Canis lupus familiaris: one gene and its partners. The protein of the gene in region 1 interacts with the protein of each later gene in a pairwise test. Links are inferred from orthologs where the notes say so. Each region holds a gene or a part of one and is shown on either strand. Other genes may lie near its edges. The genes, in order: IKBKG, TANK, EEF1A1, EPAS1 and TNFAIP3.

Region 1 (3,109 bases):
GAGAGAATGAATTCTTGTTGTTCTAAGCCAAGCTGGTCATTTGTCACAGTGGCCACGGGAAATAAATATATCCCCCGAAACTGAAGTGCTAATGCAGAAAACTGCAGGTCAGGACTGAAACACAGCACCCGGGAGTGGGGAGCCTGTCTGCGCCTTTAACGTTTTCCCAAAGTTCAGTCATCTGCGAGGAGACACCCGGGCTCCGGGAACTGGAAAAGGTGCTCCCGCTGCTGCACACGCCAGGCGCCCCCCGGGCCAGTCTCGTCTCCAGAACGGGCTGCCGGCCAGGCTGTCTTCGGCGACACCCCATTCCCAACCAGGGGAGGCCAGGGCATTCTTCCTCCACTTCTGATGTCCTTTGCTGACAACTGCGGGCTTAACGCCCTTGGCTTTGGCAGCCCTTGGCTTTGGCATCCGAGGAAACAGCCAGAAATCTTGCAAAGCAACAGTAAGGGGCCCTCTAGCGTTCAGAACCTGCCAATTGTCACCAAGTGGCTTCCCTTCACAAGGCTGGGGCATTTGGGGCTGGTGTGGGGAGCAGCATCACAAGCTTCTGCAACGTGATGAAAGGCAGCCACCACACAGAGCAGCAACACTCTCTGGGAGGACAAGAGCACGCAGTGGTGGTCGGTCGGAAAAGGAAAGGAAAAGTGCGCATGTGGAAGCACCTCCCTGTCAAACCATGAGCCCGTCACAACAATGGTAAACCCAAAGCAGGGAAGGGAAGGTGCACAGACGTGGCCACGCAAGGATGACCAACTTCAAGCCCAAAACACACTCACACAAAGTTAGAGGAAGAGAAGACAGTGGCAGTTTCTATCATACACAAGAGCCCATCCCACCAGTGACCAAAGAGCTCAAACCCACTGAGGAACAAAAGACTTACAGCCCAACAGAAAAATGGGCAAAACGTACAAATGAGCCATTAAGAGCAGAACTCGAAAAGGTCCTTCAAGCTCCACAAACACACTCAGGCTCAATAGAGAGCGCCGTGCCCGACAAATGGCAAAAGCCCGCAGGCCGGGCACCCCTCGTGTGGGCAGGGCTCGATGCTCAGCGGTGCTGCTTCTAAGACCCTGACCCAAAGAGACACGTAAGTGACGCCCAAGGATGTTCAGTGCAGCATCGTTTGTGACAGTGAGTGGCGAGGGCCCAAGTGTTCATCTGAAGCTGACTGGTAAAATGGGCCGGCGGTGCAGCCTCCAAATGGAATACCACGCGGCCCACGAGGGTGCTGGGGCCACGGTGTGTGGAAGCGTGGGCGGGAGGCAAGGCTTCTGCCCGTCTTGGCTTGAGAAGTTCTCTGAGAGCCCTGGCCTTGATTCTTGAGTTCCCCAGTGGACGTGGAAACAGAGGGAGCCCCAGGGCAAGCAGTTCAAGCGGACAGAACGAGCAAAAGGAGCAGAGCATCAGGCCTAACCGGGGTTCCATGGGCCCTAAAAGAGGCAAACCAGCAGATGGGGGAGCTGAAGCATAAGGTCCTAGAGCTAGCTCGTGGGGCGCACAGAAGTGGCCTGTTCTGTGTCACCTAGCCCGTAACTCTGGACCGTGCGGCAGGAGAGCTCGCACCGGGCCGTCCTGTGCTGCTTACTGGCAGGCAGCCCTACTCGATGCACTCCATGACGTGTATCTGCAGGGTGTCCATATCAGGGGCCTGATACTGGCACTTGGGGCAGCAGAAGTCCGGTGGCTCCTCGGGGGGGCTTCTCCTCTGGATGGACACGGGCACGTGAAAGGAGGCGTGAACTGGAGAAAGAGAGGAAGCATCAGAGAGGACTGAGACTTGCTAGGCCTGTCGGGTCGGCCACTGGGGTCACCGCCGCTTGCGTCTTCCCTCTCAGCCCGCCCCGTCCCCAGGAGGGGACTGCACTCGGGACAGTGACTCTGGGGAGGCGAGATGGGCCCTTCTCTGGCACCCTGCCCTCTCCATCCCTTCTCCGACCGCTCACTCACCTGGGGTGACGGGTAAGGGAGCCTGGGAGACCTCCACGTGCCGCTTCCTCAGATCTTCAATCCTTTGAGAAGAGAAACTGTCAGATCAAAAGTATGCACGGAGGGGATCCCTGGGTGGCTCAGCGGTTGGGCGCCTGCCTTCGGCCCAGGGCCTGATCCTGGAGTCCCGGGACAGAGTCCCATGTCAGGCGCCCTGCATGGAGCCTGCTTCTCCCTCTGCCTGTGTTTCTGCCTCTCTCTCTCTCTCTCTCTCTTATGAATAAATAAATAAAATCTTTTAAAAAAAAAAGTATGCACGGAGCCAACGGAAGGATGGGGCAGGACAGGGCAGGAGAGGGAGAGCGGAGAGGGAGGGCCGGCTCAGCCTAACCTGACACACGCACGCGGTCACCACCGGGACCCCCGCACCCAGTCCCACCCCCCGTGGGGCGGGCCCTCCGAGGCCCACCTGGCCGACTCCTGACAGCTGGCCTTCAGCCTGCTGTACTCCCTCTGCAGCTGCTCCAGCTGATCCTGCAGGATCTCCTTCTTCTCAGCCAGCTTCTCCCGGGCCTGCCTCTCGGCCTGGAAGTCGGCCTTGTATATATCCGCCTGGCAAAGCCAAGAGAGGGGCACGCCCGCCAGCTGTGGGCCATTCACTGCCTGCTGGGGGATCGGGGACAGCCGGCTCCCACCCTCCCAGAGCCGGGGCACAGAGAGTCACCGCCAAGCGCAGACAGATCAAGGAAGAGCAAGGGGCTCAAAGGGCTTCCGTGAAGCCACCGCAAAATGACACCAGGGACATACATACCAGGGCCCAGGGCCCAGCAGGCCCAGTCGGCTGACCCGCACACGGGCCACAGAGAAGTGCCCTCACCTGAGCCTTTAGCACCGGGACGGTCTCCATCACGATCTTGTGCTGCTCGGCCTCTTCCTTCAGCTTGTCGATCACTTCCTGTTTGGCCACCAGGGCCTCCTCGGCCTGCTGGAGCTGCTGCTTGAGATCCTCCAGCTGCATTCCCTAGGAACGGGCAAGGGGGAACTGCAGGAGCCCAAACTGGCCCGTGGCAGGCACCAGGCTGCCACCAGGCCGGCTGCTGCTCCAGGTGAGAAGAACCAAAAGGAATCAATGAAAGATGGGCCCTGGCTGGCCAACCCTGGAGTGGTGGAGAGCACA
Region 2 (3,961 bases), on another chromosome or scaffold:
TATTTCTTAAAATTTTAAGAACATTTTGCCATTTTATTTGTATTAATAAAACTAGTATGATAAATACAAAATTCTTGAATTGTTGATAATGACAAAGAAGTGAAAAATTTGGGTTACATATTTCAGATTTTTATTTTATATCAATCACTACTTCTTAATACCTTTTTATACATTCAGCTATCATAACAAAGCCTAAAATATATCTGCTTATTTTTACTGTATGTGATTTTCTTTTCTTCCTACTTTTGCTGAGTCAGTGAGTGGGGTCCCAACTGAATTCTATGAAAAGATCAAATCTGAACCAGTAACTCCTAATAGAGAAGGATAAACATGGACTTTGAAGATAAATTGGCAGTAGAAGGTTGGCTTACCAAATTTAGAAGCTAAATTGCTTCTAAGCTTATTTCTTCCTATTTTATAGATCTTAATAAGAATTACCTTTAACGGAACAATCTTTTATTTATATCCATATCAGTTTCCCATGAAAGTGATCATCTTAATCACTTGTACTTCTTGTTTAAACTGAAAACAGTAAAATTTAAATCTGGTTAACTCTAACTTATTTTTGCTTATTTCTCACAGTTATCACTGCTTTTAATCCTATTTTCTAAAGAAAATTATCTTACCCCAAACTTTAAAATATTTTAAATATTACTGTTTTTGTGATAAAATTGTCACTTCTTAAAAAGGGAATTGAGTCAGTGTTATTAGAAGCCTCTGTTCTGCTATTTGAATATATCTCGGTGCCTAGCAGACTTTGTATATTTACACCAACTGTACACAGCTGTCCGGTAAAATGTTTTTAAGAAGACAGTGATGTTTTGAAACTCAATTGCTTCAATTAGTAATACACTTGTTTATTGTAAATGATTGGTTAACTAGAATGGGAGATTGGTTAAGGGAATGAAAACTAACACTGTATCAGGTGTTGAACTAGGCTGTTACTTTAAAAACACATTAGTCATAGGAGGCCAAAGGGGTCTCTTTATTTAAATTGAGTTTTTGAGGTAATTCTCCTCAAAGTATCAGAAATTAGCTGTGTGAAGGTAATTTACTTTGTGTCAAGGTATACAAGAAAGTGAATTTTTTTTAAAAGATTTTATTTATTTATTTATGAGAGACACAGAGAGAGAGGCAGAGACACAGGCAGAGAGGCAGGCTCCTCACAGGGAGCCCGATGCGGGACTCGATCCCGGGACTCCAGGACCATGCCCTGGGCGGAAGGCAGGCACTAAACTGCTGTGAGCCATCCACGGATCCCCGTGAATTTTTTAAATAATTTGGTTTATAATATTCAGGAAAATAAGACCGTCAACAAGCATTTATTGAGCACCTACTATTGAACTAAATGCTTTTTCTTGCCCTACTAGATTTTTTAGAATAAATGCAGTATTTCCAGAGTATTTATGTGTTGCTTATAATGGAGATAGTCCCTTTGAATTTTTCATACTTCTTTAATTAGGCAGCTATTGACAAGTCTCACTGTATTCAGTCACAAGAAAGAGTAAAGAAGGCAAAACTATGCAGTATATATAGCAAGAGCAAAATAAGTCAAAAGAATGCATCTTATGTTAGATTTGTTGAATGATTAAAATTTTGAGGTTTCAAAAAACAACTGATCAGTGGAATTTTAGTACTTTAAAAATTCTTTCACCAAAACCACACTATTCCTATATGTTTTATTCATTGTGTATTTGCTTATAAGTAGCGAAATTTAAATGGCTCTTGATCAGAATGCATGTTTACACACATCATGTCTAGTGTACTGTGTATTAATAAGAGCCCTATAACTTAAGGTTTCTGTTGGAAAATAGTAAAGAGAAATTTTAATTTTTAAAAGGTCTTATTGACTGTTCCAAAAACTACTGCCATTATGATAACAGACATTAAAATTTGCTGATGGTAAAACTGGAAAATCTTTGACTAGATGAAGATAAAGCGCATGTATGTGTTTTCAGTGACTCTTAATCAAAGTTCAGCTGTGCCCTTAATGAACCGAGACCAGAGTCCTGTCTTCATGCTAATGCTATGGAAAGGTACTTTGCTTTCCTGTGAGGGAATTTTGTGTTTATGCGCATACCCCGTGCAGAAAACCCCGCATTTGAAATTCACTGTAAGTTGATTGTAAGTACAAATAACAGAAGATGTTTTTGTTTGTTTCCTGCAGCCCATTTGGAAGCCCTTTCCTAATCAAGACAGTGACTTATCTTCGGTCCTGGGTGGCAGGGACTCAGAGCTGCCTATCCCTCGGGTCTGTGAATTCTGTCAAGCTGTTTTCCCACCATCCATTACATCCAGGGGGGATTTCCTGCGGCACCTGAACTCCCACTTTAATGGGGAGACTTAAGATGCACTTGAAGACAGTCCTGTGGGATGAGTCTATGTGATCATCCAGGTCTGGGTGATGGTCTTGGGTTTGTAATACTATAGATACTTGATTGCAAACTTAGTTCAAGATCATTTAGTGAATAATAGCTATGAATTTTTTTTCTAACCTTACATTGTAACTTTCTTCTCTTTTAAAAGATCATTCTGTACAAAGCTGTAGTTCATTGTATTCATGTTTACAGTGTTTATTGCCTTAATTTATGTTTGTTTCAAACATCTAAGCTTATTGCTTGGATTTCTAGTTAGATCTGTTGAATTTGGTGATGTCAAATGTTTATGGGGTTTTTCACCTAAAATTAGATTATTTATGCTATAGGCGATTTTATTTTTTTTTAAGTAAACCTGTAATACAGAACAGCAGACAACATAAATGCCTAGGTAAATGCCAAACCTAAGACATTTGTTGCCCAGGGATAAAATCACTGGTTAGAATTATTTAAATACTTTAGATTGTTTTGTTAAATAATATACATGGTTTTAAATTTTGCTATGTATATAGCTACATGATGAAAATTAGTTAAATATTTAAAAAGTTACTTATGTTGTGATCTTTACATGTGTTCTTTGTTCTTGAGTGAAAAAAATAAAGAAATAAATTACATTTGGGGGAAGTTTATAACATTCATGTTTTCTAATGGTAGAAGGGTGATATCAGATCTGGTGACATTTAATTACGAGTAGTAGATCACTTTGAATTTAGTAATTATTTTTCAAACTAAACTTGCTAAAGAAACACTTGTATTTCCAGGGAGCAAATTTAAAAAGCCCTATAAGGAGTATCCACATTTATTGATTGATTTATAAGTATTTACATTGTTGTTCAGAAATGTGTGGTTCATTGTCAGCAGCCTGATGGCCACTGGAAGACGTTTGAGAGAGAGGATACCAAATCCGACGGCTGCAAAATATTTCTTAAAATAAGGTGTCTCTTTCATTTTTCTTCCCTGTGGTGCTTGTTTTTCAGGTTTCCCTTTGCCTCCGATTTTTAAAACTCTTTGAGGCATGGCTTCCATTTTATAAAGTGCACATTGATTTGCAGCTTTCAAAACAGGAATTTAAGCCTTCTTTGGAGGAAATGTTTTTAAAAATTGGAGGATTTTAGGATGGGGGAATTTGAGAGGCCCCTGTGCCCCAGTAAAAAGCCTTAACTCGTGGAAGAATGAAAATGGTGCCTCGACTTCTCAGGGTGCCAAGCACATCACATTGACATCTTCTTCACCAAGGTGACATAGCGATTATTAGGTATTCACTGTGAAGGGTTCTGAGACGCGCGGACTTCTCTCCTCCGTTGCCGCTGGGGCTGAATGGAAATACCTAGAGGATTCTCCGAGCCTCGCCCCACCTCGCACCCACAGCCTCCCTCTCACTCCACGCACACGCACACACGGGATTAAAAATAAAAACTTCTCCGCCTGTGCCACCCAGAATATGCCACTGTACCTATCTCGTGAACGGGGATTCGTTTTCCTTGTCCTTTTCTAGAAGAGAGAGAGCCCCTCTCACACAGTTGACATCTACTAGCCTGCTGCCAACCCAAGGCGAGTCTAGCCCAGAAAGTGACTCAAAGCAAGGT
Region 3 (4,755 bases), on another chromosome or scaffold:
AAAAACTAATAACTTAAAACTGCCACACACGCACAAAAAAAAAAAAAAAACAAATGGTCCACAAAACATTCTCCTTTCCTTCTGAAGGTTTTACGATGCATTGTTATCATTAACCAGTCTTTTACTATTAAACTTAAATGGCCAATTGACACAAACAGTTCTGAGACCGTTCTTCCACCACTGATTAAGACTGGGGTGGCAGGTATTAGGGATAATATTCATTTAGCCTTCTGAGCTTTCTGGGCAGACTTGGTGACTTTGCCAGCTCCAGCTGCCTTCTTGTCCACTGCTTTGATGACACCCACAGCAACCGTCTGTCTCATGTCACGAACAGCAAAACGGCCTATTAAAACAAATTTTAGATCACTATCAGAAACTGTATCAGAAACTATACACAAATAGCACGTCCTAGTGCTTCAGTAAGTTTTCTAATTATGCTTAAATCATTCTTACCCAGAGGAGGATAGTCAGAGAAGCTCTCAACACACATAGGTTTGCCAGGAACCATATCAACAATGGCAGCATCCCCAGATTTCAAGAACTTGGGACCATCTTCCAGCTTCTTTCCAGAACGACGATCTATCTTTTCCTTCAGCTCAGCAAACTTGCAGGCAATGTGAGCTGTGTGACAATCCAGCACAGGTGCATATCCAGCACTGATTTGGCCTGGATGGTTCAGGATAATCACCTTGGAGGAAAAAATTGCATTTAATACATTTCAAACAGGATCTAGCAAAGAGAACATTGCCACTCTTAAGTGTGTTACCTGAGCTGTGAAGCCAGCTGCTTCCATTGGTGGGTCATTTTTGCTGTCACCAGCCACATTGCCACGACGAACATCTTTGACAGATACGTTCTTGACATTGAAGCCCACATTGTCCCCAGGAAGAGCCTCACTCAAAGCTTCATGGTGCATTTCAACAGACTTTACTTCAGTTGTAACATTGACTGGAGCAAAGGTGACCACCATACCAGGCTTAAGAACACCAGTCTCCACTCGACCCACTGGGACAGTACCAATACCTAAAATATTTAGAAGCATCGTGTCAGATACCTTCTGTGAAGAACAATCCATAAATCGTATTTTTAAATGGCAATGTTCAACTTACCACCAATTTTGTAGACGTCTTGGAGAGGCAGACGCAAGGGCTTATCAGTTGGACGAGTTGGTGGCAGAATGCAATCCAGGGCTTCAAGCAGTGTGGTTCCGCTGGCATTCCCATCTTTACGGGTGACTTTCCATCCCTTGAACCAAGGCATCTAAAAAAACAAGATTGTCCATTAGCATTCCCCAAACTGTTGTCATTTAGTGTCAACATATGCCTCTTCTATCACTTCCTCAAAGCCTTGAAGTCACTTACGTTAGCACTTGGCTCCAGCATGTTGTCACCATTCCAACCAGAAATTGGCACAAATGCTACTGTGTCGGGGTTGTAGCCAATTTTCTTAATGTAGGTGCTGACTTCTTTAACGATTTCCTCGTATCTCTTCTGGCTGTAGGGTGGTTCAGTGGAATCCATTTTGTTAACACCAACAATTAGTTGTTTTACACCCAGTGTGTAAGCCAGAAGGGCATGCTCACGGGTCTGCCCATTCTTGGAGATACCTGCTTCAAATTCACCAACACCAGCAGCAACAATCAGGACAGCACAGTCAGCCTTTAAAAGACAAAAAGACATCCTGTTAAATAAATGTTCCTCAAAAAGATGAACTCCCCCTTTTTTCCCATACAAAACCCAAGCCTACAGTTATTTTCAAGTAATCCTACAAACCTGAGATGTGCCTGTAATCATGTTTTTGATAAAGTCTCTGTGTCCTGGGGCATCAATGATGGTCACGTAATACTTGCTGGTCTCGAATTTCCACAGGGAGATATCAATGGTGATACCACGTTCACGTTCAGCTTTCAGTTTATCCAAGACCCAGGCATACTTGAAGGAGCCTTTTCCCATCTGTAAGGATTAAGAATGGTTACTTGGTAACTTAAACACAAACTTCCAACTTGAAATCCCTAACTCCTGCTTAAGCAGAAATGCGGATTCCACTTTACAGTTAGGTAGTTCTATCTCCCAAAGTTACATAGATAAAAAACTCTTCAGCAAGCACAAACAATCTACCACAAGCAGCAGATTCTGATAGACTAGTAACTAGTTTTGGGGAAGTTGACACTGGCCGACTTTTTTTTAACGATCTCTCATTAAGTTAGTATACCAACCTCAGCAGCCTCCTTCTCAAATTTTTCGATAGTTCTTTTGTCGATCCCACCACATTTGTAGATCAGATGGCCAGTAGTGGTAGACTTGCCCGAATCTACGTGTCCAATGACGACGATGTTGATGTGAGTCTTCTCCTTTCCCATTTTGGTTTAGGTTTAGCGGTGGTTTTCACGACACCTAAATTTTAGGGTAGGAACAAACCCTTTTAACTACTGTCCCGGAGGCTTGAAAATAAGCCACGACCAAACTCGCAGAGACCAAATTCCAAGAATTACAACCAGGGCCAAGCTGGCCCAACTCTCGTCTCCACCCACCAAGCGTGGGGTTAACTCCACCGCATAAAATCCCCTCCCCCCTCCGGGGAAGGCCTGCTTGTAAGGCGTTGAGGCGGAATGGAGGTGCCAAGACGGCGTTCGGTACACCGTAGGGTCACAGGAAGCAGCGGCCTAACAGGGAAAGGCCCTTTTCCTTTGTGTGGGTGACTCACCCGCCCGCTCTCCCGGGCCGCCGCGTCCTCCATTTTGAGCTGCCTGCAGCAGGGCCGGAGAGCGGCCATCTTTCCGCGCACGCAACTGGTGCCGAGCGGGCCGGCCTCTCCGCCCGGCGTAGGACGGTACATCGCGGCGCGAGGCCCGGCACCAGAGCCGCCCGGCCCACTCCACGGGACTCTCCCGCGTCCGACGCGGCGCCCACGGCTCGTGGGCCTTCCCCGCCTCGTCGGACATGTGCGCCGGGACGAGCGGGCCTCGTCGCCGCCCTCCGCGCCTCGCGGCGGCCCCACACCCCAAGAACGCGACGACCGCGGAAAAGCCCACCCCGTTCAAGTCCTGACCAACCTCCGCTCAACCATCTCGACGGAGAAAACCATAGCGGCCTTCTTTTGGTAGGTCAAACGTCTGGAGGCTTAAACCACTGTACGAGGGCAGGCAAGAAGGTGCGGCGGAATTCGCACGCGGCCGCCACAACACCCAAGCCAGGCCTCAAACCAACCACGAGGCAAAAGGGGTCCTAAAAAAAGGCGCAAGGCCTGGAACCTTCCCACCCACTCACAATCCGAAATTCGGGGTCAAGAACATCGTAAAGTGGCTCGGTGGCGCGGCCGTTGTAAAAGGCACGCGAGGGCCGCTGGCAGCTCAAAGAGGCCAGGCCCGCGGGAGCCACACCCGGCACTCACCTGTGTTCTGGCGGCAAACCCGTTGCGAAAAAGAACGTTCAAGGCGGCTACGGCACTTATATACGGTCCTCCCCCACCCTCGGGGAAGAGGGCGGAGCCAGCACACGACACCACTTTCCCAGTTTACCCCGCGCCAACTCCATCAGGCACCGGTTCGGTCGCCATCCCCTCCCCCTACTGCTCGGGGACCGTGGGCGATGTGCGCTCAGCCCACTAAAGAGCGCACATCTCCTCGCGCATGCTCCTCTTGACCCCGATGACGGCGAGAGTGAGTGGGTGGGGAGGCGGGGACGAGCTTTCCGCTCGTTCTATGTTAGTGAGAGTTTAACGACGGTCCCTGGGATTCCCCGAGGCTGAAGCGAGTCCTCCTTTGTATGAATTACTCTCAGCTCCAGCTGAAGGGGCGGGCGGGGGGGCGAGGAGGCGGCCCTGCGGGGAAGTACTGAATCTGCCCTCTACGGTTCCTGGTTTAACTGCAAAGATGGTGTGGCGATTGGAGTACGCCTTCCCTCCGCAGTATACCTCCAGTTCTTAACCTGGTCCTCTCCAAGGTCCAGGACTGCCCCTTTGAGCCGCTTCCTCCGCTCGTCGCAGGTCCGCCCTGGGCTGGCTCCTCCCTCGCCCCTGCCTTCTCTTCCTCTCGGGGCTGGAGAGTACAAGGCCCGGGCTCCCAGGGCAGCGAGGGACCCGAGGGGCCGCCTTCACAGCCGGAGAATCCGCAAGGGTTTCAACTCGGTGGCCGTGACCCGGACGAATGTGCTCTTGGGCTAGCCTTTTGGCTTGTTCCAGTCCGAGCCCGCTGCTTTTACCGAAGCCCGAGTCACACGTTCACCCCATATGGTACTCCAGACGTCTAGTTCTTCAGTTCAGAATAGATTTCAATCCCACAGTCTGCCTTTTAACTCTAGTTTCATTACGTTATAGAAAGACCCTATGTGTGTCTACTCTCGTGGTACATTTTTTCTACAGTGTACACTCATTTGATTGCTAGCATGAGCAACCTAAAAAGAATTTTTCAAATTCAGTCTTTCCGCATGATCTCAAGTAGAAACTAAGATCTACGGCTTCAGCAAGCTTATCCACCCAATTTCCTATCCCCAACACTTGCTGCGAATCACTGCTTCTTAAAGGTGGCCTAGCCCATTTAAATAAATTAGTTCATTTTCTGTTAAATGGATTTTAACTCCATTTGAGCATAAATTTAGGGCGAAACCGGATGAGGCCTTTTTGGTTGGCAATCAGGGCAGACTGAGAAATACTTTCAAGAAGGAACTTTTATTTTTAATGAGCTAGTTACTATATCAGTATGTCTCTTCCATGTGTGGAACATCACTGCAACTCCTCCAGCCAATCTGTTAACAAATG
Region 4 (4,216 bases), on another chromosome or scaffold:
GTCCCTGTGAGGTCTTGCTCCGCAAACCTCCCTGACCTTGGGCTCCGTTTCTTCTCCCCTAGTGTGCACCAAAGGTCAGGTGGTGAGCGGCCAGTACCGGATGCTTGCAAAGCACGGGGGCTACGTGTGGCTGGAGACCCAGGGGACGGTTATCTACAACCCTCGCAACCTGCAGCCCCAGTGCATCATGTGCGTGAACTACGTCCTGAGGTAAGCCTGTCGGGGCCACAGGGCTGGGTGTGCAGGATGCCTGAGCTCCCCAGACGGAGGGCAGCAGGCCCCGGGGAAGGCAGACCTACTGGAAACCCTGGCACTACCTTTGCGAGCTCTGTGCAGTGCTTAGGACCCGGAGGATTTTCACAGGTGTCTCAGGAACTCTCGGATGTCTGGGGTTTCCCCTCCCCAATGGTTTCTCCCCACCCCCACCCCCACCCCTGCGTCTTCCCCCATCTGTCATCTGTGTCATGGCTCTGACCCACATGGGGAGGCAGACAGCATAATTGTCATTTAATAAAATGAGGAATAAGGAAAGTGATAGTGCTCCAGCTTTCCAGGAGAGATGTAACAGCTCCATGGTGCCTGGGGAGAAAGTTGGAGCTGGTCACTGCTAGTGTTAAACAAAAACAGAAACCATCACACCCGTGTGTACAGTGCAGCCCCCACACAGTAATAAGACAGCGTCCAAGACGCATCCATATCCAGAGGGCGCTCCCCAGGTTGCTGCCTCCATGACCCCAAAGTTTGCCGTGTGGTTCCTTACAAATGCTAGCAGGCGTCTGGACCCATGTTTTTTTGGCTGAAAGGGTTAGCTGTCCGGTTGTCCATGTGTTGGGGGGGGGGTGGGGGGCGTAAAAGGATTTTGCTAGAAAACGTGGGTGGTCTGAAGCACCTCTCGTCCCACCAGTGAGATTGAGAAGAACGACGTGGTGTTCTCCATGGACCAGACGGAATCACTGTTCAAGCCCCACCTGATGGCCATGACCAGCCTCTTCGACAGCAGTGGCGAGGTGGCGGTATCCGACAAGAGTGACTACCTGTTCACCAAGCTGAAGGAGGAGCCCGAGGAGCTGGCCCAGCTGGCCCCCACTGCAGGAGATGCCATCATTTCTCTGGATTTCGGTGGGTGCTTCTTAGCTGAACAGGGGCCTGCTGAACCCTCTCGTGGGGTGCAGGTGGGGGTGGGGAGGAAGTTCTTACTGGAACAGGCCTCCCTGGCTTCAGTTCTTCCTTAACCCCTGCCCCTTCCATGGTCTGGTGGCCAGACTGTGCTGAGCACAAGAGCGACACATGGTGCGGAGTAAGATGGTCCTGCTGCTGACTTTGCAAGGTCCTGAGCAGGGGGTGGGGTTGTGGGGGACTCTCTTCTTTATTTATTTTTATTTTTTTTATTTTAAAGATTTTTATTTATTTACTCATGAGAGACACACACACAGAGAGAGAGAGGCAGAGACACAGGCAGAGGGAGAAGCAGGTTCCATGCAGGGAGCCCAATGTGGGACTCGATCCAGGGACCCCAGGATCATGCCCTGGGCTGAAGGTGGCACTAAACCGCTGAGCCACCAGGGCTGCCCGGGGGCCTCTCTTCTGAGGAGTCACTGGTTCTCCAACACGGGCAGTGAGGGCCTGAGATGAGGGAGGCCGCTGGCCTGTTTTCACAGTGAGGGCCAATCCCCATCCCCTGGGGACAGATTGCTCGTTTAGGGAGAGGGGCAGGCTGAAATAATAGAAATAGTTCCAGAAATATGGCTGGAGGAAAGATTCTGGCCCAGGATGATGCCCTCATATGCACTATTTCTTTAAAATGCTGGCCTGTCCATAGGGCCGTTGGGTGGCTCAGTAGGTAAAGTATCTGACACTCGATTTCAGCTCAGGTCATGATCTCAGGGTTGTGAGACTGAACCCTGTGTCAGGCTCCCCACTGAGCGTGGAATCTGCTGGAAGATTCTCTCTCCCCTCTCCCTCTGCCCTTCCCCCTAACCCTGTGCATGTGCTCTAAAAAAAAAAAAAAAAAAAGAAAGAAATGTTGTTCTGTCCAGTGGAGATTTGTGTCCTGTGGCCCCAGGCAGAGTTTCAGCCCATTCCCCGCCCATGCTGGAAGCACCTTCCATGTGTCCCTGTTCCCAGGTTGTGAGCCCCCTCACCCTCACCAGCCTGGCCCAGGGCCAGCAGCACCTCCCTGTGCTCATCCCAGAGTGGCTTGTGCCCTCTGGAAGTGCTCTGCAGAGGCCAGCTGGGGATTGCAACTTCAGAAACTATAAAGGGCAGCGGCCCCAGGACGAGGAGTTTTGTGGCTTCCCAGTTTTGTGGCAGTACTGAGGCAAATTGCCCTGTTTTCCTCTTACAACCCCCTCCTCGTGGACATTGCTGACTACCTGTCGAGGAAGTAGGTCCCAGTACCTGTAGTCCCTGACAATGAAATCCTCCAGGAGGGTGCTCCCTTCAAAGGGAGATAGTTCATTGCCTCACAGTCCCTGGTAGGGGCTCGTTGCTGCGGCCCAACCTCGGAGGCTGAGGACCTAGCCCCAGGCCTGCTTTCAGACCCTCCTAGGGCCTTCTGAGCACCCTCTGGGCTCTCTGCCCAGGGGTAAGCCCAGTGGCCAGTCCAGTGGCCGTGGGTGTTAACCAGCCAGGCCCTTGTCTCTGCAGGGAGCCAGAGCTTCGAGGAGTCCTCATCCTACAACAGCGCCCTCCTGCCCCCAAGCCAGCCGTGGCCCAGAGAGCTGAGGAGCCACAGCACCCAGAGCGAGGACGGGAGCCTGCCCGCCTTCACTGTGCCCCAAGCGGCGGCCTCCGGGAGCGCCACCCCAAGTGCCACCAGCAGCAGCAGCAGCTGCTCCACGGTGAGCACCCTGCCTTGGGGTGAGGACATGGAAAGGGTGGGCTGTTCCTTTTAACTGCTGCAGGATGGCCGAGTAGACAGCCCAAACAGGAATATGCCCGCATGCCCCTCCAGTGAGCCCAGAACCCCGTAGAGTGGTGGGGACGGATGCTTACCTGCCTGCTGCCCCAGCCTTTGCCGTTACTGTCTGCACCCCCATCTACGCCCTAAGTTCCTTGGAGATGGGGGCCGAGTTGCACACAGCTTTGAGCCTGTAGCTCGGTCCCAGTGCGGGACAGTCACCGTCCTGCTCCAGGCAGATAGCTGTATGGTCTCCAGAGCCCCGCCGGCCACAGCCCTACTTGTCAGCAGGGGTCCCTCTACACATACTTGTTCCATGGAATGGAGCTGAGTCTGTGAGTCTAGACACATACTTCTTTCACCTGGGACTTCTGGGGAGACCAGCACCCTACTCTTGACTTGGTGTCTCTCCTTCCTGGCCCCCAGCCCAGCAGCCCCGGAGACTACTACACATCTCTAAATGATGATCTGAAGATTGAGGTGATCGAGAAGCTCTTCACCATGGACACAGAGGCAAAGGACCAGGGCAGCACTCAGGTAGATGGGCTACACCTGCCCACTGGCAGGAGGGGAGACGAAGGCTCACAGCCATTCTGGCAGCCCCGTCCCTTTGTCCTCGGTCGCAGAGACCAGTGGGGGCATGTGGCCAAGGCCCTGGTCATAAAGGGGAAGTGGGGCCTGCAGTAGTCCCCTTCTCCTACCTTTGCCCTCTGCTTTGCTCACCAAATCCACCTTGGGAGCTCTTTACCGAGGCTGAGTTTTTGTGCACCGAGAAAGCCACAGAACCTTTCTTAAAGAAGCCCTGTGTTTAAAGAGCATGTCCAGATTTGTGAGGTGTTCATAAACAATAAGGAACAGTAACTCTCCTCACACACACCTTCATCTTAGGATTCTGAAATAACTTTTAATGCATTTTAAAATGGCATCTAGCAGAGATTTTCATTTACACACAACTTTTCAGGAATGCACAGAGGTGGGGGTTCTTAAAAATGATAAGAACAGGGATGAGATGGGTGCGTGTTTCACAGTGCCCCAAGGACAAGTGTTCAGCCCCCTTCGTCTCAGGCCCAGTTGTTCTAACAAGTCCCCCTGCTGCGCAGCTGGTCTCTTTGGCCTGCCTGGCGCAAGCTCTCGCAATTCGGCAAAACTTCCCTGCTTGAGCCCTTCCTGCTCTGTCCTCTGAACTCCCGAGGGGTTGCTCAGTACTTGATGCCATCTGCTTCCGCTCCTGCGCTGTGCCATACAGGGAGTCATCATCACTAAGCTGCACACCCTACCCCCCAACAGCGAGGGTATCATTTTCTGCATGGGCTTTTG
Region 5 (4,978 bases), on another chromosome or scaffold:
TTCGCATGCCACTCTGACACAGCCACTGGGTCTTCGGAGCTCTGAATGCCAGTGACGGGCACAAGGTGGCCCTGACAAGTCCTTAGCTTCTCCCTTAAGACCACTGCTGAGCAGCCCTGGCTTTTAGGCAAAGCCTTAATTTATCTCTTTTAAGCCCTCCCACCCTACACTGCAGAATAAATGTTTTGTGGAAAATCTCACAATTTTATGTTGTCACGTAGGCTGCTGATTAGAGTTTCCTCTTTAGCCCCGAAGAGAAATATTTATCAAGAGCTTATTTATAAAAATGTATTATAATATTTATAAAAGTTAAAACTGAATATCTTAGAACCAATGAAAAAGCCTATTTCCAGTAAGAAGCTTTGCAATTTTAACGGTCAATGATAAAGTCTTTCAGAACCTCTCCACTGAACTTCACAACATCAGAATAGGACATAGAATTATAATAATAATAATAATAATAATACAAGAATAAATTTTACACTTCCGAGAGCAGGCATTAGATTTCAATTATTTCAACTTAACTACATTTATTATCATTGTCCAGGTACCAACACTCAAATGCATTTCCCACCCTGTCTTCACCCTGGAATCCTGAAACATAATCTGCTGGTAGAAGGAAATAAAAGTCTGGAAATGGGCAAGGAAAGATGTTTCAGCCAGGGGGATGCTCATGATAAATGAAGGAAGCGGGGGGAGGGGGGTGGTGCAAAACCCAGCATCTACAACCCATGCCAATAGCGTAGGATGTTGTGAATTGATGCAACGTGGGATCTCTGCAGTGTGGAGCTGTGTGGAAAGCCACAAGCCTTAGCAGGGTGCCCCAACATACATCTTGGTTTCCAAGATGAAGGCAAAGATGGTTTTGGAGCATGAAGACATTCCCTAGGAAGTTTCATGGAGATTGCTAATCTCACTCCTGCACCATACTATTTGCCAGGGCAAGCTTCTAGTTGAGGAAGACTTGAAACCTGTGTAAGAGTGAGAAGAAACCTAGATTTTAGGGAAGCCATTCCTAGGTGGGTCTAGGCTCTCTTAAAGCCATTGATGAAGTGATTTAAAACTTGTGGTCCAAAATAGAGAGGTTAAAGTAGATGACCCAAGGTTGCTTCTGAGGAGTTTTCTGGTGATAGTTTTGGACCAGGATTCCAAATCTGATTGTCAATGAGGCCTGGGAGAAGTTATTCTCTGGGCCAGTTGGTAATCTTTCCTTCAGTTCCCTGAAGGTGGAACTGGGCAAAATTATTGCAGGGCACAAGCATAATGAAGCAATAAAAACATTACACCCATTTCCACTTTGTGGCATGGCCAGTCTCACAATCACTCATTCATCTGTCCATTGCTTAAAAAGCACTGCCTGCTCACCTGCTGAGAGCCATGCTGGATGCTGGGACTAAAAATCACAGGTGCCCTTATTCCCTGTCCACAGCCATGGCAACACAAGCACGGGTCCTGCTCAGGTTCCACACCACCCAAGGCAGACAGCTTTGCCTGGAAGCCAGATCTTCCAACACCTGCCCCTTGCAGTTCCCACAACACCATCCCTGTGCCTGCTGCTGCCAGACGGGAAGAGGCCGGAAGCAAAAAGATTTGAAACAAGCTAGGTGTTGCCTTTTGAGTTTTCCGAATCTTCTCTTAATCTCTTCTAATTTAAAGATCTTTCAGCAAAGACCTCAAATAGCACAAGCGCTCTTTGCCATATGTAAGACATGCAAATGTCAGTACTGTATAGCCCTGGGTCATCTCATTCATAGTTTTAGCCTTGCACACACTGTGGAATCGATCGCCTCCTGAAAAGAATTAGAACCCACCAGCCAAGTTCCCAGTTCTCGGACTTCTCCACGTTTAAGATGAAAGAATAAATTTTCCTGACCTATAACTGTAACGTCCTTACAGGTAAAGACATATGCTATCACCCTTACCATTTCTTTTACATTTGTCACCTCACTGACTTTTTTTTTTTTTTTTTAAATCAATAAATGCCTCATCGAATTTTTGGTAACTCTCACTCCTAAACTCCAAAACTTGTACACAGAATTGTTAAAAAGAGAAAAAAAAAAAACAAAAAACAAAGAAGCACCTTAGACGATGGGAATGGAGCTATAACCGGCTGCGTAACAACTGCAGACACTAGTGCTAAGGTCCAGGGGACTGATGAACCACGGTCCTCCCCAAAGGCTGCCCTGAGACACTTGACCAGACCAGCTTTCCAAGGAAAGAAGATCAGAGGCGGGGAGAACTGAAAACAAAGCGGTCTCAAAAGCGCTGAGCTCCTTCCTTACTTAATACCACTGCTTTCCTGAGAGGCCAGGTGGCAGGATGTGGGACGACCCGGGCTGACAACGACCGTCTGACTGTGGGGTAGGGGCTGGGGCAGGGGCCTCCAGGTCGCCGTCCACTGGAGCACCCGAAAAGCCGGCCAACGTCCCGCTTGAGCATGCACACTCCTCGCGCACTGCGGCGCCTGCAGCAGCTCAGCACCGGCCCTCCGCCCACCCGCCTCCCTGCACTGGGCTGCGGGGTCTGCAAGCCGACCCAGGGCAGGCTGGCTGGCCCGGGCCCCCACGCCCCCCCCGCCCGGCGGGTGGCCTGGCTCTGCACCCGCCGGGAAGAAGCCACGGCGGGTCGGCTCTGCAAGGTCTCCGTGTCCGCGAGCATCCAGAGCTTGATCGAAAAATAAAAAAGGCACGCAAAGGGGCAAAGCACCGAGGACCACGCGACCTGGCCGTCCGGGGGCTCCTCTCCAGCCGCCTGCTGCAGCTTACGTTCCTGGCAGCATCTACAAGGAACAGCTGGCCGGAGGGCTCCCGAGCTGTCACCCCAGCGTCGTGCGCGGCCGCCTCGACTCCCAGCACTTCACATCCCGCAGTGAGCGCCGACGGCCGACGAGCTCCGGGCCGGGCCCGGGCCGACAAGCTCCCGCCCGCGAGGAGCTGCCGGTGACGCACCCGCGCAGCCCGGGCCCCGCGACGCCGCTGGCAGAGGCACGGGCACGCGGCGGTTACCTGTCCGGCCGCGCGATCCTCTTCCAGAGTCCCAAGTCCGGGTCAGGTCCGGGCCGCGCGGAGGAGGCGCCCCATGGACGCCGGGGCTCGGCGCTCGCTCGCCGCGGGGCTGTGTGGCTCGCGCCCGCCGCCGCCGCCGCCGCCGCCGCCGCCGCACTTGTCCCGGCGGCTGCTGTCACCGCTCCGCCCCCGCGGGCTCCGAGCGCGCTGCACCGGCCCGCTGCGAGGACTGCAGACTGCCAGTTCTCTTTTTCCCTTTCTGTTTTACCGCCGGCGGAGAACGGGGATTTCCACCCGGGGACTTTCCAGTCACGTGACGCCCGGGCCGGCGCCGAGCCCCGCGGTCGCCGGCCGCCAGGGGGCGCAGGGGGCGCAGGGGGCGCGGGCGGCGCAGGAGGCCGGCGGCGCCCCGCCCCGCCCCGCCCCGCCCCGCCCCCCCGCGCGAGAAACTCCTGAGCCCCGCCCCCGGGTGTCCCCGCGTGAGTCACCTGGGCATTTCGGAAGCTGGCCCAACGTCACATCCATGTGGAAATCGCGGTGATGGGAACTGGAAATGAAATAGGTTCTTTTTTCTCAGCCGTTTTTCTGCAGAAAATCACCAACCGTGGAGAACAATAAGGGAAATAATAAAGAAAGAAAACCCTAAAAACCACCCGGGCGTCCGGGACCGCAGCCTTCGGGGCTGGGTTGGAAAAGCTAGGGCTGTGCACGTGATGAGCTCGTCGGGGAGCGCCCTACTCTGGGCCCCGGTGGGGATTTCACAACCCTCCGTGCGTCCCCATCCCAGCGTTCTGCCGCCCAGACGGCGGCCTGTTGGGGGTGACCTCCTGAGGCCCCACAGCCTTGAAATTTGCAGGAGCAAAACCTATCTTAGGTGAAGTTGGGAATCAGAGCAACTATCAGCCCTGTTCTGCACTTTACTGATTTCCCTTTCTCCCTTCCTGCACACCAGGTGCCCAGGGGGCTCGGCACGCAGGAACATTTCGGTTTAGAAATCATTTCTAGTCCATTATTACTGTCCTTGCGTGGCCCCCCTAAGGCCCTATTAGGAGCTCTTTTTCATGACCTGACAATTAGTTCAGGCCAAGGTGTCAAGGGCTGATAATACATTTTACCCACCCACGACCCCCACCCCTTATTAAATAGTGTGGTAACCCGCAGTCTTTACCCAAAGGACGTCCTGTGGAAATAGGTGTCAGCCACTTGGACAGTGGAGGTGCCTGAATTGCAGAGGGAGAGGCAGGCACTTTGACTGGCTAAGAGTCCCCCTTGGCGCATTTCTTAGAATAGCTAAACTAGAACCAGATTGAAATATTCTGTGCATTGTCCCCTTCTAGACTTACTTATACTAGTTGGGCCTCGTATCCCAGTTTTGGAATTAGAAAAATATGCTTTCCTCTCCAGTAAGGACCTGCAGAGACTGGATGGAGGACTGGATGAGGACCAGGTGGCACATTTTTGGCAAAGAGACACTCAGAGCGGAGAGTCAGAAGTGGCCAAGCTTCCAAGGCTGGTGCTGGCCATTTGAAACCAATGGCTGGGACTTTTGACAACTCCAAACCTCCTGGCATTTCTTCTTATACCTGCTGGTATAAGCTGTTCATTCACAAATGTTTTTAGCTACCAACTCTCAAACAACGCATAGGGAATATGATAATAATAATGTTTATTAAGTCCTTACTATATGCCGCTCTCTAGGCTAAGTGTTTGAAAGGCACTCTGCCACTTAAGCCTCAAAACAACTCCACTTTGAAGCTATGAAATTAAAGTGTAAGAAGCTTAAGCCATTTACCCCAAGTCTACACCGTCGGTCAGTGGCAGAGCCGTGATTGGAACTGGGCCTGTTTACTCCAAGGTAAACGCTGTTGGGTCTTAAATATTACTCTCAGAAAAGATCCTCCAAGACTTAAAATCTCAAGGCCATTGTTTCTACCCTGGCCCCCAGCCTCACAAACACACAGCAGTCACTAAGT

Evidence for each region.
Region 2: the proteins of IKBKG (region 1) and TANK interact in binary tests that used the Homo sapiens proteins (3 or more experiments, as listed by UniProt). The link is inferred for Canis lupus familiaris from reciprocal best matches to the Homo sapiens genes IKBKG and TANK.
Region 3: the proteins of IKBKG (region 1) and EEF1A1 interact in a two-hybrid assay, tested with the Homo sapiens proteins (2 studies listed by BioGRID and IntAct, with this or other methods). The link is inferred for Canis lupus familiaris from reciprocal best matches to the Homo sapiens genes IKBKG and EEF1A1.
Region 4: the proteins of IKBKG (region 1) and EPAS1 interact in a two-hybrid assay, tested with the Homo sapiens proteins (2 studies listed by BioGRID, with this or other methods). The link is inferred for Canis lupus familiaris from reciprocal best matches to the Homo sapiens genes IKBKG and EPAS1.
Region 5: the proteins of IKBKG (region 1) and TNFAIP3 interact in binary tests that used the Homo sapiens proteins (3 or more experiments, as listed by UniProt). The link is inferred for Canis lupus familiaris from reciprocal best matches to the Homo sapiens genes IKBKG and TNFAIP3.

Annotation. Positions count from the first base shown.
Region 1 is NC_049260.1:123,436,538-123,439,646, reverse strand, and holds part of IKBKG (NF-kappa-B essential modulator), read right to left. Parts: intron 2,954-3,109; coding exon 2,810-2,953; intron 2,545-2,809; coding exon 2,402-2,544; intron 2,016-2,401; coding exon 1,954-2,015; intron 1,747-1,953; coding exon 1,604-1,746; 3' UTR 1-1,603. UniProt on the Homo sapiens protein: Regulatory subunit of the IKK core complex which phosphorylates inhibitors of NF-kappa-B thus leading to the dissociation of the inhibitor/NF-kappa-B complex and ultimately the degradation of the inhibitor.
Region 2 is NC_049257.1:7,115,149-7,119,109, forward strand, and holds the end of TANK (TRAF family member-associated NF-kappa-B activator), read left to right. Parts: intron 1-2,167; coding exon 2,168-2,347; 3' UTR 2,348-3,004; downstream 3,005-3,961.
Region 3 is NC_049233.1:35,819,953-35,824,707, forward strand, and holds the start of EEF1A1 (elongation factor 1-alpha 1), read right to left. Parts: upstream 3,328-4,755; intron 3,213-3,327; coding exon of another isoform or gene 3,104-3,212; intron 3,041-3,103; coding exon of another isoform or gene 2,940-3,040; intron 2,394-2,939; 5' UTR 2,360-2,393; coding exon 2,216-2,359; intron 1,953-2,215; coding exon 1,773-1,952; intron 1,659-1,772; coding exon 1,362-1,658; intron 1,261-1,361; coding exon 1,110-1,260; intron 1,024-1,109; coding exon 767-1,023; intron 689-766; coding exon 454-688; intron 344-453; coding exon 219-343; 3' UTR 1-218. Other genes in the region: uncharacterized protein LOC119874198, read left to right, coding at 2,940-3,040, 3,104-3,212, 3,328-3,658, 3,985-4,230. UniProt on the Homo sapiens protein: Translation elongation factor that catalyzes the GTP-dependent binding of aminoacyl-tRNA (aa-tRNA) to the A-site of ribosomes during the elongation phase of protein synthesis.
Region 4 is NC_049231.1:49,679,522-49,683,737, forward strand, and holds part of EPAS1 (endothelial PAS domain-containing protein 1), read left to right. Parts: intron 1-62; coding exon 63-210; intron 211-904; coding exon 905-1,119; intron 1,120-2,646; coding exon 2,647-2,840; intron 2,841-3,325; coding exon 3,326-3,436; intron 3,437-4,216.
Region 5 is NC_049222.1:30,482,736-30,487,713, reverse strand, and holds the start of TNFAIP3 (tumor necrosis factor alpha-induced protein 3), read right to left. Parts: upstream 3,142-4,978; 5' UTR 3,006-3,141; intron 2,045-3,005; exon of another isoform or gene 1-2,044. UniProt on the Homo sapiens protein: Ubiquitin-editing enzyme that contains both ubiquitin ligase and deubiquitinase activities.